2 linked regions of the Drosophila melanogaster genome follow. Changing the gene in region 1 together with any one later gene gives a genetic interaction. Each region holds a gene or a part of one and is shown on either strand. Other genes may lie near its edges.

Region 1 (7,632 bases):
GATAAATTAAATCGATATTGATCATCCGATTGGCTAAATTCTATGCCAAAATTAAACTTAAATAAATTTCAAAGTATATGAAATACGTAAAGTATAATTTGTAGGATATTTCCACCTAATTTAAAGTGTAAACTTTAAACTTTAAGATATATTGTAAACTTAAAGATACTTTAAAAATATTTCTAACTTACAATATCTTTTTAAGTTTTTATGGTTTTTTTTATATAAATATTCTCCGCGTAAAAACAGACGGTTTGACTCTACTTCTAATAACACTGAAATATATATTAGATATAATATCTAACCTGGTTGATTCACATTCTCCATAGGGCCCAACTGCTGGCCAGCAGAGTTATTGGTCACTAGACGTGACCATGGCACTTGGCTTGGAAAACAGTTGGCAATTCTATCAAGAAACCCGGTACTTGGGGGAGAACTTACCACTAGCCGACGCCAAGTACCAACTATCAGGAGATAGTACCAATCCCTTGGCGAGTCTGGTACCTGATGGTAAATAAACGGAATGGTCGAAGAAACAATTGAATCGTTTAAGTAGAACATCACAATCAGAGAAGAAACAGGGGCAGAGCAGCTGGCGTGCCAATCAAACAATGTGCTCATGTAGATAAATGTGGCATTTAATGCCGAGAATTTAATTTGATTTGAACACGAGCCAGATAAATTTAGTGTTGGATGTCACTTCGTTCGTTCCCACGCCGCATCAATGCGCAAAAACATAAGTTTGTTAGGACATTACAACAATTTAGTTTATTTCTGCGACTGACTCATTAGTGGCGGTTGATGAAATGAGATTTTAACATAAATTGCTGTTGGCTTTCGCTACAAATTGTTTTCCTTTGCCCTATAATAATTGATCACTTTAATAACAGGTGAATTGTACTACAAACAACATTAATTTCATGTAGGAAAACCAATTAAACTAATTGAAAGTTAGTAAACTATAATAATGAAAGGTAAAGTTATTTTTAAGAATATACAAATTAAGTTCAGACACTATAAAAAAGTCTTCGATTATACGTATATAAATTATTATTTATTTTTATTAAATTTTCGAATTTTAAATTTTAGCGCATTTGTATAAGCCTATCAATATATCGATTGTTCAGTATAAGCTTAATAATAATCGGTCCTTCTCTATAATTCTAACATCTGACTATCATCAGCTGTTTTTGTTATGATTTTTCTTGACTAATTACAAATAATTTTTAAAATGACAGAATAACTTGAAAACTAAAAGAATAACTAATAATAATAATTCAACTAGAAAATATAAAGAAAAAAAAACAATTAAGCAGAAATGTCCAAGTTACCAAAAGCATCACTTAGTTTGAAGCAGGTAAGCAGGTTTAAATCATTTTTATGGTTTTCCAAATATATTAATAAAACTAACAATAATTGAATGAATTGATTACATTGTAGTTTATGCTGCGCCAGGAAGTACTGAAGCTCTACCGGGAAATATTTCGAACGATTCGTCAGGTTCCCGACAAAAACAGCCAGCTGGAGCTAAAATCCTGGGCACGGCATGACTTCCAGACGAATCGCCATCAAAGTGACGAGGTGGCCATCAAGATGCTCCTTCAGCACGGCAGACGCAGCCTCACAGAACTAAGGACCAGCCTCCAACTGAGCGGGGTGAGCGAGGGCAAATAGGATCAGTCTTGAACATAAATCTTAGCTTAATTTGATTTTATTTTTGAGCTCGACAACCGTACGAAAATAAATACGAGTTAAGACTAAGGACTATGACAAAAAGCTATCGAATCTTTGAGGTGCTACAATTCGCTGTGTTTTTGTGTGTTTCGTGAAGGTGAAATAGCAGTCTAGCGTCTTTGCAGGGAGTTGAACTCCCAGGATCCATTTCAGTTTTCCATTTCAGTTCTTAAAGCAGGGGTCGCAGAAAACTCAACCAGGCCACCTTAAGCAGGGCCAGTGCAAAGAGAAGGGAACCCACGCTGGTGATTATCAACGAGATGATATCTCTCTTGGCATGCTGATCCACTCTGCCCACCAAGAAGCTGTGTATCACGGTGCTGGTAATGTGGGCGCCATCGAAACCAAAGCAGGGAATGGCATTGATCAACGCCAATCCTATGCTGAAGACCACGTTATACTTGAGGAGCAGCAGCCAGGCATCCGGCCAGGCTGCCTTTAATAAGCTATATCTCGGCACAAAGGCGGATACCTCCACAGTTCGAGTGACATCCCATGGATGGCCCACATAGATCACCGGCGGCAGCTTCTCTCCGCGAAAATTCTGTCGCTTGAACGTCATTATGGCAGTGATATTTCGTATAAGCGGTCGTAGGCAGAATCCCTCGTTGCAAACTCCGGACGAGCAGTGCTCGGAGACCTCCTCCAAAGTGCGGCGCACATTGAGACATACATGCTGCGGCAGCTCCACCGGCACATCTCCATTTGCGTCCTCCACCACCTCGAAGCAGCTTACGTTCGGATTTAGTTCATCACAGCACTGTAGCTGACCATCAATGCTATGATGTGAGATGGCGCTGCTTTCGTCGTTAAGCTGCACGAAGTCCGCACTCACACAGTAGCCCGGCTTGAGCTTCAGAGAGTTCTGCAGGCATGTCACCCAACTCTCCTCGCTGTTTACTGGGCAGCCGTTTACTTGGGTTATTTGATTGTCCACTTGCAAGCCGCGCTCTCCCCTCAGCGGGGATTTCCTTGTTAGTTCAGTGACCACTACGTGTTGGTTGTAAGCGTACAAAGGTGACATAGTGATTCCCACCGTTGAGATTAAGAGATAGCACACGCCAGCGAACACAAAATTATGCCAGATTCCAGCGCACAGAACACGTAGCTTGCGGAACCAACGTAGACTGTTTAAGTGGTCGTGGGAGAGCTCCGTGTATGCTAACGGCAGGCAGAAGATGAACTGAAATATTAATATTTACCTAATTAGTAAGCGTATTAGGTTGTAAAGTACGCTATATCATTCTAACCTTTATTCCAAACCCGGTGACAGGCACATCCTCCATCACAGCGGCCAGGGCGTGTCCCATCTCGTGCACCACCAAGCAGAGCACAAGGGTTGTGATGTAGTATCCGATCTCCTCCAACGGCAAGTTGACGCCGGGCAGTAGAATTTCCAGCTGCACAGGGACTCCAACGGGCGAGGATACAGACGAAGAGCTGTCTTGTTCACCACTGCTGAAGATAGTGGCAATGAGCAGGATCAGACCGATCGGGAGCAGAGAAAAGGTGACCAGGACTCCTACATTAAAGCTGGTGATCATTACTCTCCGGGTGCAGCTGTTACCGGCAGATCCCCAGCGTAGGAGGGTCCTGTTAAAGGCACTCGTGTGCCAGTGGAGGCTCATGAAATTTATACTCAGCCCGGTGTTCTTGAGGAAGGCATCGTACGGGTAGTGCATGCAACTCTAAGGGATTACATTAAGTATCTGGACGTACTTTGGCTGGATATACTACACCTTGAAGAAGCGGTCGAAAAAGTAAAGAACGCCATAAAGCGATGCCAGTACTATGAAGAACACGAAGGGATCCATGGCTGGTGAGGTCTCAAGATGTCATTGGTTTGTTGGGATTAGGATGGTGATGCGGATTCTACAGTTGGGGGTCCTCCGGTTGCTGGACGTCACTTGCGAATGCTAGTAGTCCCTACCGGACGGGATTCCTTCCCGAAATCTTACTCCTCTGGTCCCGACTCCTTATACCAGCAATGCTGTGTAGTCCAGACCAGAAATCAGCATTAATCACGTCTGGGAATCTTGTGCGCAAATTAACCTGCGTAAAAAATCGAAATACCAAAAGCTAATCGCAATCGATTGCAGAACTTATCGATGGCCGCTTTATCAATAATACCGATAAGCAAGCTTATTTGGGCGCGAAAGTTTTGAACATTTTCAACTATTCAACGTCAAACAAAGAAAACTGTTGAACAACTCAAAAACAACAATTAAAATTTTTTTATGAAAATGATTTGCTTTCAATATAAAAAAATTCAAAATCCATTGTGTTAAGTGACTTAAAATACATCAAACACATGAGCGAACAGGAATTCTCATATAAGAGACTTTTGCCGACTTGCAGGCTGATCGTCTCCATTATGGCCTGCGTATCCTGTATATCGGGCGTGGCTGCCGGCTATCTTTTCATGACCAGTTTATCAGGTGTCTCTGAAGCGGTAAAGATTGTGTGGACCACCGGATCGGCTCTCTATGCATTATCCTCGCTCCTGTTGATTATTGCAGTTTGGAAGGTTAACCTGAAGCAAAATTAATTGAGGAAATATTCTTAAGAATCCTGTGATTTTGCAGTTCATTAAATGGCTGGCCTATCCATACATGTGCATGCTGCTCATGGCCATTGCCGTCTACACGATGATCCTGCAGTGGCTACTCAAGAACCTACCGGCTGCCGTTTTCTCATCTGTGGCCATCAGCTTTATATTTCTTGGAGTGGCGTTGAACATGACCAAAAGCCTGGAAGAACTACGCACTTCTCTATAGAGCAATGCAAAGTGTTCTCGTTTAGTTTTGGATTTATATTATAAATTTGCCGTGCAGTAATCAAGAGCAACGAATACACCTACTTTGATTAAAATTGAAAAATTATAGGTATATGAAAATCTAGCATGAGAAATTGTAAAGTTACATTTGTTAAATTTGTGTGACTTTAATTCGTAAGGCAATTCGTAATTCATTCATCAGCTGTTTTCAGAAATAAAAGTAGGTGGTTCTGGCAACAGGCGGCCAAAAGAACCTAGCAAAACAAAACGGATGAAAACCAATGGAAAGGAAGAGAGGACCTCTTACTCTTGTTTTTCCTTTTTCCATGCCGAAACTCACCACCACCAAGTTCACCTTAACTGAGTTGGGTTTTCAATGGACCTCCAGAGGACATGAGTATCATCAGTTTAGTCGTGAGCTTGAGCAGCAGCAGAACAGTCGCATCCGCCAAAAAGGGCAACAAACGAAGAGTACTCACGAAAAATAAAAAGGCTTTTGCAAAGGGTTTTCCCAATCAGAGAAAGTGTTCAATAGCTTCAGGCGTATTTTTAACCAATTTAACTCACTGGAAGGATCCAATTCGTTCGATTGTGATTGAGTAAGCTAAGAACAAAGGACTTCAGCTGGAATCTCGCCCCATATCGATTTGTTCCAAAAACTGCATATTCGCCAGCGAGTGAGTGAGAGAGTGCGCTTGTGCCGAAAACGGATACGGAAGGGGGCGACAAGGAAGCGGAAGCGGAAACAGCTGCTGCATAAACAATAGTAACAGGGAATACTGTGTGTCACATCAACGCATCATGACGCCAGAGCAGCAAGGATATTGCCCCTAGGAAAACCCATACAAGTTCCTCAAGGAAGCCCTCAAGAAAAAGCGAACGAAAATCGCAATCGATTCGGAGAACAAACCATCAAGACGAACCCGCAAAGGATTCAGTGCCAAAGGAGCCGTTCCGGCAGAAGCAGCAGTAGCAAGAGAGTATTTATTTTGGGCCAACCGGTGAAGGCCCGCGAACGTCAGCTCTTCAGGACTTTAAGGACCCAAAGCAGAGGCAACCCAATGCATTTGGGTGCACAACAACAACGCCCCAAGCAACAACAACAACAGCGCGAGCAACAAGAGAAACATCAAAGGCGTTTCACGTTCAGTAAAGGACGGCAATGTCGTCCCTACAGCGTGACTGGCATTTACAGGTGAGTAGTACTACCCAGCATCCCATTATCCTTACTTTGGGAAGGTCAGGAACCATCCCCCTTGATTCCTCCTCGCTGCCTTTTCTGGGGAGTGGGCCAATGGCAATCGTATTGAGGTAGCTGGAGTTTGGGTTCCTCTGGTGAGCATGCGCACTGGACCAGAGAGTGTTTTACGAGTACGTAAACATTGCAAGCGACAGGAGAATGGGTCAACGTCACAAGTTGCATCCATCTTAGTCGCTTTAGAAGAACGGGGACAAGAAAGTAAACAATACATGCCCCGACTGCTGATGGAAAGACCGAAAACCACAAGCCAAAGTTCAGTCGTGGCATGGTGTTGACCTTTAATGACACCTATTAAATCGAATAGAAGTGTTCATTTCTACTAGTTTTGACACAAATGAAAAGTAACTTTTTATTATGCTTATAATTATACTTACACTTACAATCGTTGATTTTGTAAACACTTAAAACATGAATTTTGAGCCAAATTTAAGTAGGTGTTTACACTCGCATATGGGAGTACAGCATCCCTACACTTAAGCATCAATGTCCTGCTGATTGGGTGAACTAATTGGCCTAGGCCTGTGCAACCTAATATCTATTATTACGGAGGGCTAGCAATTACGGGTGGCTCAACAAGTTGTGCGTCAAGTCCTCCCCACTAGATTCCCTCCCCGACTAGATACCACCCTCGACCAGCCGACTTGAGGCCACCCCTTTCACCTTGACCGCTTATCGTTCAGGCCCACACACGAGCGCCAACTAACTTGGCCCGGGGGAAGGTTCTTCCGTTTCATTAAGCGCTGGCAAAGGCCTTGAAATGTTGGGAAATTGAAAACAACCAGCGATTGCAGAGCTGCCCCAGCGAAAGCTTCCTGACAGCTTAAGCCGGATTCCAGCTGACAGCAGAGGGTGGTCTTGGGGGTTCTTGGCGTCCAGGATATCGTATACCATCGCATGCCACGGCGACGTGGGCCTTTGACATTCGACAAGGTCACTGGCTCTAGGATGCTGTGACTCATGCTCTTGAGGGGGAGTTGCCAAATGCCAAGAGTTGGCCAACGCTCATTAGTCGTGTCAGATGTGTGACTGCATTTTGCACTCGTTCAAGAATATTGCATGCCATCTATTTGGCATATTTCTACCATCAATATGGCTGACAGTTCATAAGCGGCACGAAGTTCGACAAATGACATGCCACGTAAACAAAAGACAAATTTATTAAATTTACTTTCAAAGTTAGAATTCAATTATATAAATTTACTTGGCTTTATTAAGCATAAGTGATGTTATGATTTGTTACATTTACCATGCAATATTTATTCGTTATAATAATTATTGATTATTTGCTCATTAAGAACTGACATGCTTAGATAGGATACTTAAGTAAAAGCAAATAAAAAGGTTGACTAAGGATAGAGCGCTTCACCTAATATATTGTGCATAGGTTTAACCAGCGTTGGGCACCAATCCTTCTTTCTAATGGGCACACACGTCGCATACTTGATATTTGATGCCAGCAATGTATCATATTTCGTATACGTACGTCATTGGAAGTACCAAGAAATAGGTGGGAGCGGGACAACTAAGTGCGAAATAAGAAGCTATTAGGAAATGAGTTATTACGAACTGTTGGTTATAACAATAAGATTGCGACAGCACATAAATATTAAGGGGGCAGGTGTTGAAATCTAATTAGGAATAGTTCAATATGAGGTAAAAATATTAACTGTGCACATATAACATAAAGTTTTAAATGTATATATTAGTTAGTATGTATAGTTGAGCTGTTGGCATGGCTGTAAACCCAATAATACCTTACATCAACTTACCGAATTTCGTTTTTGACTGCTTTCCAATTGTGTCCTTTCTACGAGGGCTTGGCAAAGATTGGCGTCTTATCAGCACGGGTATATTTCCTGGC
Region 2 (7,518 bases), on another chromosome or scaffold:
TCTAGAACGGCCTCGGGTGCGCAGGTGTCCCACTTCTTGCAGCCCGGCGTGGCGAAGACGTACGCGTGGGCCTTTCCCTCCAGCAGCTGGAGCACTTTGAACCCAGCGCCTCCGACTTTCAGAACTTCTGTGGATGCGAATGCGTTGAGGGCTTGCTGATGCAGGGCATTGGAATGCGAGCGAGTGGTGGTTATGATGAACTGGCCGGCTGGCGCGGGGACTGCCGTGAATCCTCCCGTGCCCAGACCCTTCAGGCCCCAAATGGTGCGACCCATTTCGCCATCGGGCTGTTGGTAGAATGGCTGATGAATGATGCCGCCCACAGCAGCATCCTTCACGGCTATGCCGATCAGGACGGTCACGTGTTCAACGTGTCCTGCGGATGAAAGGAGAACATTTAGTTTTATATAAGGAGCTCTACAGGTATCTCCAGATCGCACCCTGTGTATACTCCGCTGTGCCGTCTAGGGGATCTACCCATATGACAAAGTCCTCGGGCTTGACATCCTTCCACTCAGCGGGGCAACTGTGCTGCAGGAATTCCTCATCCAACTCGTTCACCAGCCAGTCGTCGCAGACATTCAGATCGGATCCACCCTCCTCGCCAATGATCTTGACGGTGGGGAACTTTTTGGCCAAGGAGGCGATAATGCAACGCTGGGCAGAGCGATCTGCCTCCGTCTGCGGATCGTTCTTGCCCTTGTCCACTATGCCCAGGTCACCCTTCTTGAGCACGTCGCGTATGATGCCGCCAGCCCGCTTGGCGGTGCTGATCGAGGACGCCATGACGCGCATAATTACCGGAGCAGTTGCAGCCATCGTTATTTTATTTGTATGGGACAAGGATGCGGGAGATCTTTTCAAGATTGGAATGAGATGTTTTCGTCGCTGCAGAGAAGTGATTGCGGTGAAAGTAGAACAGCTGTTGGCGGCTAGAGAGGAGCGAAAAGCACAAAGTTTAGCTACTCCCCCGTAAATAGTTGAATTCGTAATTCATCAACTCCACAGTTTCAGAAATTATGTTTCCTAGTTTTGCTTAAAGTTGTTAGTCCTTTAAGATACATGAATTTAAAAATGTATTTCAGCGGGAATATTTGGACATTTTATAGCTGCAAATAATCGGCTGCTCTGTCTGGCAACGCTGTAGCCGGAGAAGACCTTTGGACCACCCGCGCCCCCGCCGCCAACAAATCAGTTCATTTCCATCTTGAAGAGGTAAGTTCTTGAAACTCAGTAAATTTCCGTAAATTTCATCAATTTTATAACTAATTTGGCAGAAAATGGCGCGTGTTTTGGTTGGAGTTAAGCGTGTGATCGACTACGCCGTCAAGGTGAGCCTGAAAAGTCGCCTGTTGCGCATCTTGTCCCATTGTCTTTTTATCACTTGTTGCGCTCTGTTTTGCGTAATCGCCTTAATTAAGCGGCAATTAAACTAATTCAGGTTACATTTATCATGTCCAGGTGCGCGTCAAGCCCGACAAGACTGGCGTGGTCACCCAGGGCGTGAAGCACTCGATGAATCCCTTCGACGAGATCGCCGTGGAGGAGGCGGTGAAGCTGAAGGAGAAAAAGCTGGCCGAGGAGGTGATCGCCGTCTCCGTGGGCCCGGCCCAGTCGCAGGAGGTGATCCGCACCGCCCTGGCCATGGGCGCCGATCGCGGCGTCCACGTAGAGATCCCGGCCGCCGAGTACGAGCTTCTGCAGCCCATCCACGTGTCGAAGATTCTGGCCAAGTTGGCTCTTGACGAAAAAGCCGACCTGGTCATCCTTGGCAAGCAGGCCATCGACGATGATGCCAACCAAACGGCCCAGATGACCGCCGCCGTGCTCGACTGGCCGCAGGGCACCTTCTGCAACAAGATCGAGAAGACAGACGCCGGTCTGACCATCACGCGTGAAATTGATGGTGGCCTGGAGACAATCAAGACCAAGACCCCGGCTGTGCTGAGCGCCGATCTCCGGCTGAACACCCCTCGCTACGCCACGTTGCCGAACATCATGAAGGCCAAGAAGAAGCCGCTGAAGAAGGTTACGGCCAAGGATCTCGGCGTGGACACCTCGCCCCGCATCGAGGTCATCTCCGTGGAGGATCCTCCTGTGCGCCAGGCCGGCGCCACCGTCGCCGACGTGGATGCCCTGGTGGCCAAGCTAAAGGAGGGCGGCCACATCTAGATGTTCCTCAACTAGAAAATTGTGAGCGCATATTCTACGTTTTTAATTAGTCGAAAGTTATCAGAAACGTGCATTTATCTAGCCGGAGAGTCGGATTTGCTGACAGGCTTTAAATTTCTCTGAATTCAACCCATACCCGTGTGCTTTAAGTGAACTATAAATTGGAATTTATTCTCGTTGTGTCCAGCTCTAAGAATAAAGTGATTGTAAGCTCTGAAATCGTACGATCAGGGTCAGCCAATGGCTGGACTCGTCTATTTTTCCGTCTCCGCGTGCTACCTTTTCGGGAAATGCCGCTCAACTTGGCGCCCAAAAGAGGCGACAGGGTCAACAGCAAACAGCCAATGGTCATTGATTTCTCATTGTTTTCAATCGGATTTATTAGCGGTTAACTTGAAAGGAGAACATTTGCTAATGTGCATTATATAAGAGTACAAATGGCATAGAAATAGTATATATTGTTCATAAAACACTCGACTACAGGCTAAAATCGTTTGTTTTCGTTTTGGACGACCATGACACACAGGCTTATACTATAAAGATATCTATGTGTATAAAATTGTAAAAAGGTCTTGTCTGTAAATGGTCTAAGGTAGATATAGATAAGGGTGGGCCGACATTCCTGATCGAGAATCAAAGAGGCGCAAGTTGTTCTATGATAAGGTTTAGTAGAGAATTTAAAATTTTGAGATCGTCTTTGTTCAGTTGGCAAGTTAAAATTGTCAAAAAATTTTGGCCGGAGTAAAAACCTCTTAGATTTCTAAGTTAAATCGATCTACTCTACCCACCCCAAAAAATATAAATACAGACGAGTAAATGCGACATTAATAAATGTCAATCGAAAGATACTTTGTGCCTAAATAAAATAAAACGGGCAGTGGCACCAATCTCGTCGAGCAATTGGGCAGGTTAAAAAAGTGTTGTATAAAAAATATGCTGCAAGGCCGATAGCCCATGAGGTTCTAACTTAATTGCGACTTGGTTTATCACACACCTCGCCGTACCCACCGTTTGATCCATACCATTAGCCATCAAACCCGTCCGGCTGGTGCCAACTGCTTGTCGCTGAAACGCAGAATGCGCGTCAGCATGGTGGTTATGCAGGGTATCTGCTTCTGCTGGTGCATCTCCGGAGTGTCCGGGGTGCAGGACTCAAAGTCCACGGCCACCCGCTGGCACACGAATGTGAGCAGGGTCAGGATGTCCAGCCGCTTGCCATTGGCCGCCAGTTCGGCGCACAGGCTCTGCATGAACCAGCTGCCGCGGGTGGTGTTGCGCCACGAATAGAATCCAGGAACCGTCGAGTAGGCGATCAGAAAGTCGGCGTGCACTGGAATCTTGTAGCTCATCGAGGAGTCGCCATCGGTTTCCGTCTGAGAACGCTGCATGGTCACTCCGCCATCCAATCTGTCGCCCTGGCAGGCCTGTATGAAGAACAACTTGGGTTTGCCGGCTAGCGAGGGGCAGTGATTGGCCGTGAAGAAGCTCCAGATGTTATCCAGCTTGTACTGTGTGTCCTTGGCGTAGATGTAGCCCATCTCGCCGTGCGACAGGATGGCGACCAGGATGCAATCACTATCGCTGTGATTCTGCGACGCTGCATACTCGATTGTCCTCAAAATGTCCTTGTAGCGGCAGTCCTTGTACACGGTCACTTCGAAGTCCAGCTGCTTGAGCACCCGAGTCAGATTCTCGCAGTCCACATTGGTTCCCGCGCGAGACTTCAAGGTGGGCACCTCGAAGTGCTCATGGTTGAAGATCAGTGCCATTCCGCGGTTCTTGTGGCGCATGTTGTACTCGGCTGCATGGCGGTCGGTGACCATTTTGGCTACATTCTTACGGTAGCTGGACGAGGGTGAGCTGTACCCGTTGGCCAGCTGCCCAATGGCTCCGCTGCCGTAAGGATGCGAGGATCCTGCGACCAGGCCGCTGCTACCCGCTCCTCCGGATCCCACGGAGCCCAGGGCATCTGTGTGATCGTTGGGCTGCTCCGGATTGCCCACCCTGATGCCCACCTGGTCGGCGGATTCTCCATTGTTAGTGGCGTCCATGGCTAAGTTCTCTCCTTGAGCCTGCGAAAACTGATGAGTCACAAGCACTGCGAAACAGGTTTTTCCAAATCTGTGAAAAGCTTGGATGCACGACTTGGGCAAATTAGCTTCGTTCTGGGGAAAGTCCGTGTTTACGCGCAACAAAGACAGCTAGTTATTAACTAATTACTTTAGTCGATTGCGTTTTTGTCTTTAATTCTGTAAGACCGTTGTTGGCAGTTGAAAAACACCAAATAGCGCCTGATTTGGTGATGACACTTCAGCCCTCGTGTCACGATTACGGTAAACAAAGAAAGTAAATAAATATAGGAAAAATTATTAAATGGGTTTTAAAAAATATTAAAATAATTTGAAATTAAAAGCTTGGAGGTAATTTTGTGGGAACTTGTATAATCTACATAAAAAACAGGCCTGCTTCCATTTATTATTGTAGAATCGAATTCGCATCCAAAGCTAAAACGTAAACATCAGTTTATAAATAAGGCAGACCGCTGCTGGATTTTCGAAAAATAACGTAAAATACCGTAAAATACGCTCTTATGCACGGTCACACTCTCAAAGAGGTTTGAGACGCACTGTAGAATTTGTTGAATTGTTTCAATTTGTTTAAAAATTAAGAAAATTACCAATGTTCTGGACACCAGAGCAAGTGGAGAGCATGCTGGAAGTGCTAAAGACCTCCACGGATCGAACAGTCATTTACAAATGCCTGGTGAAGCTGCGCACCGATCTGGTGAAGGATAAAAATGGCATTGTTTTATTTCGCACTGCTGGGGGCGTTCACATCATGGTGGGTTTGGGAGTCACAACGCTCATGGTGGTTTGACAGCCACTGCCGCTCACATAGGATCGTTATTCGAATCGATTTTTAAATCATTATTAATTGCGTCTTCCAGGTGCGACTGATCACCAAGCTGAATGAAAAGATAATGGAGGTGGTACTGAGCATACTGGGGAACTGCTGCACCGACGAACAGTCCTGCATTGAGGTGGGATTATCAGATTACATTTTTATCTTTATTTTGAACCACAACGGTTAAAAAAATTTAAAACTTTCCACTTTAAGGCTGTTGAATGCAAGGTGATTCACCCGCTGGTGACCATTCTGAAGACCATACCTAATCCCCTGATCCAGTGCCGCGCCTGCCGGATGCTTGGAAACATCGCCAAGAGCAAGAAGGCGTCCCAGTGTCTCACAGTGCACTATGCGGCCATTGCACCGGCCATCTGCCACATCATTGAGTCCACCAGTGCGGTGCAGACCCGCATCATGGCATTCCGCGTCTGCCGTTTCCTTCTGGCCAGCAGCCAGTTCCTGAAGTACTTCCTCATGGCCAATGGGTTCCAGCAGCTGATGCGAATTTTTCTGGCCGTGATGAAGAACGAAGAGGCATCCAAGGAGCCCGTTCCGGACATCGAGATGTCCACGCTGATTGGCCTGAAGAGGAACCAGCACCGTGAGAAGTATTTCGAGGAGGTAGCCCGGAATTTGGAGGGTGTTCGCAGTGACATCTTTGACCACCAGATGCTCAAGAATTCCACAAGGAACTGTGACTATGCGCTGCCCAAGGAAAATGAAGCGGCCGTTGAGCTGGCCCTCGAGATTCTGAAGTGTCTGGTCCTGATATCCGCGCAGCAAATTGGACTGAAAGTTTGGGAGGTGAGACTGTTTTCTAAGTTCTCCAAAACGTAGTACATAATAAACATTTCTTGTTAGTCCATTTCCTGGAATACCTCGCTCGCCTCCATTGTGTGCTTCGTAAAGGAGGACGGCGACCAACGGGCCTCTGCCCTTAAAATCCTCTCTAACTTCTGCAAGGATCCCTTCGCCTTCTACATGCTGAGCACTGCGGATGCCATTGTGGCTGCCTGCGAGATGCTCATGGCTGTGAACATGGCAAAGCCACTTAGCGAAAGCGAGAGCCGGCACTGCATCAACATAATCTTGACGCTATCCACCGATGCCTGCAGCCGCTCGAAGATCCGGAGATGTGGGGCACTGCGCAAGCTGGTGGCCATGATCCGGGACTCCAACTCGCAGAGCGAGCGATCATCGGTGAGATGGAAACCAAATCCCTCTTGACATCTGCTATATATAATGGCTTTCTTCATACCCAACAGCTATTTCACATACTTTACAACTTCCAATATGATAACTTAAGCATGGAACTCATGCTGTATGAAGGACTAATGCCCATGTTGGTGCGGGAACTAAACGATTACCTGACCAGCGATGATGAGCATCACAAACGTCGACGAGACGAGAGACTGCAAGGTGGTAAAAAAAGAAAACTGACGGATCCCACAACGCCAGAGACGCTGAGCAAGGTATTTATTTAGCAGCATAGCAGCTAGCATATGTTTACAAGCCACTTGCTAATTATACCCACTTTTTGCACACAAGTTCTCAAAAACCCACGAGACCTTAGGATCGGACTTTGAATCGCCGAGCAGTTCACCTAGGTCTTATCGCACAACCAGTCCCTGCAGTTCGCGCAGCATGTCACCGGTGTGCACAGATCTGCTGACGAATGATGACGACGACAACTATTCTCCGGCGTGCAGTGATGACGACGAAGATGAGGATGACAGCACAAATAATAGCAATTTGGACACAAGAGAGCGGCGCATAGCCGCCAATCGTTCGCAGCCTTCGAATGTTCTGGATATACTGAAACTAATTGAGGAGGGCAGCGAACCCATAGATGATCCGCTGTCCGACAAAGAGGATCTCGAGGAACTGAGCTCGGATGTACCACCGAAACTAGCCCCGTTCCGCAATACAACATGCAACACCATTGACATAATAGAAAACCTTATCTATCGCATCACGCTGATGGTGAACAAGCGAGTGGAGCTGGGAAAGCCAGAGACGCTCGACACTCTGATTAGAGCCATCAAATTGTTTGGATCGAACAATAATTTCCCAAATGCCCTGACAAATATTCTACTGTAAGTTGTCAAGCTGAACTAAGGATAAGCATGTATTCTAATTGCACGTATATCCTTTCAGTGAGAGCCAGTTCTTTGCCCAGATAATAAAGCATGGCGTGGTCCATCAACTGTACCAGTTTACCAAGCTGAAGGAGGTAAAGTGAGCCCATTCATCTAATGTTCATCACAGTTAACACCGCACGTATATTTCAGATTCGCAAAGACGGCTTCGCCTTCTTGGAGACGTTAACCAATGTGGGAGAATCGAATTATGGCAAGGAGGAGCTAGTGCGTCTCCTGCGCTGCGACGATGTGATATCCCAACAGAGAGCCGCCATTTCGGTGGCCTACATAGTTAAAA

Evidence for each region.
Region 2: of S2P (region 1) and Drice, changing one suppresses a phenotype caused by changing the other (phenotypic suppression), as found in Drosophila melanogaster (one study listed by BioGRID).

The regions. Positions count from the first base shown.
Region 1 is NT_033778.4:11,840,406-11,848,037, forward strand, and holds S2P (site-2 protease), read right to left. Parts: upstream 3,836-7,632; 5' UTR 3,549-3,835; coding exon 3,474-3,548; intron 3,423-3,473; coding exon 2,985-3,422; intron 2,918-2,984; coding exon 1,904-2,917; 3' UTR 1,698-1,903; downstream 1-1,697. Other genes in the region: CG34229 (uncharacterized protein), read left to right, coding at 1,319-1,357, 1,441-1,674; CG43190 (uncharacterized protein), read left to right, coding at 4,109-4,261, 4,320-4,511; Sln (silnoon), read left to right, coding at 5,673-5,705.
Region 2 is NT_033777.3:29,796,603-29,804,120, reverse strand, and holds Drice (death related ICE-like caspase), read right to left. Parts: upstream 4,464-7,518; 5' UTR 4,224-4,463; coding exon 3,204-4,223; 3' UTR 2,537-3,203; downstream 1-2,536. Other genes in the region: CG7789 (uncharacterized protein), read right to left, coding at 1-376, 441-819; Etfb (electron transfer flavoprotein beta subunit), read left to right, coding at 1,281-1,331, 1,462-2,172; Rnb (R and B), read left to right, coding at 4,852-5,013, 5,120-5,212, 5,290-5,883, 5,941-6,279, 6,345-6,551, 6,628-7,175, 7,237-7,312, 7,371-7,518.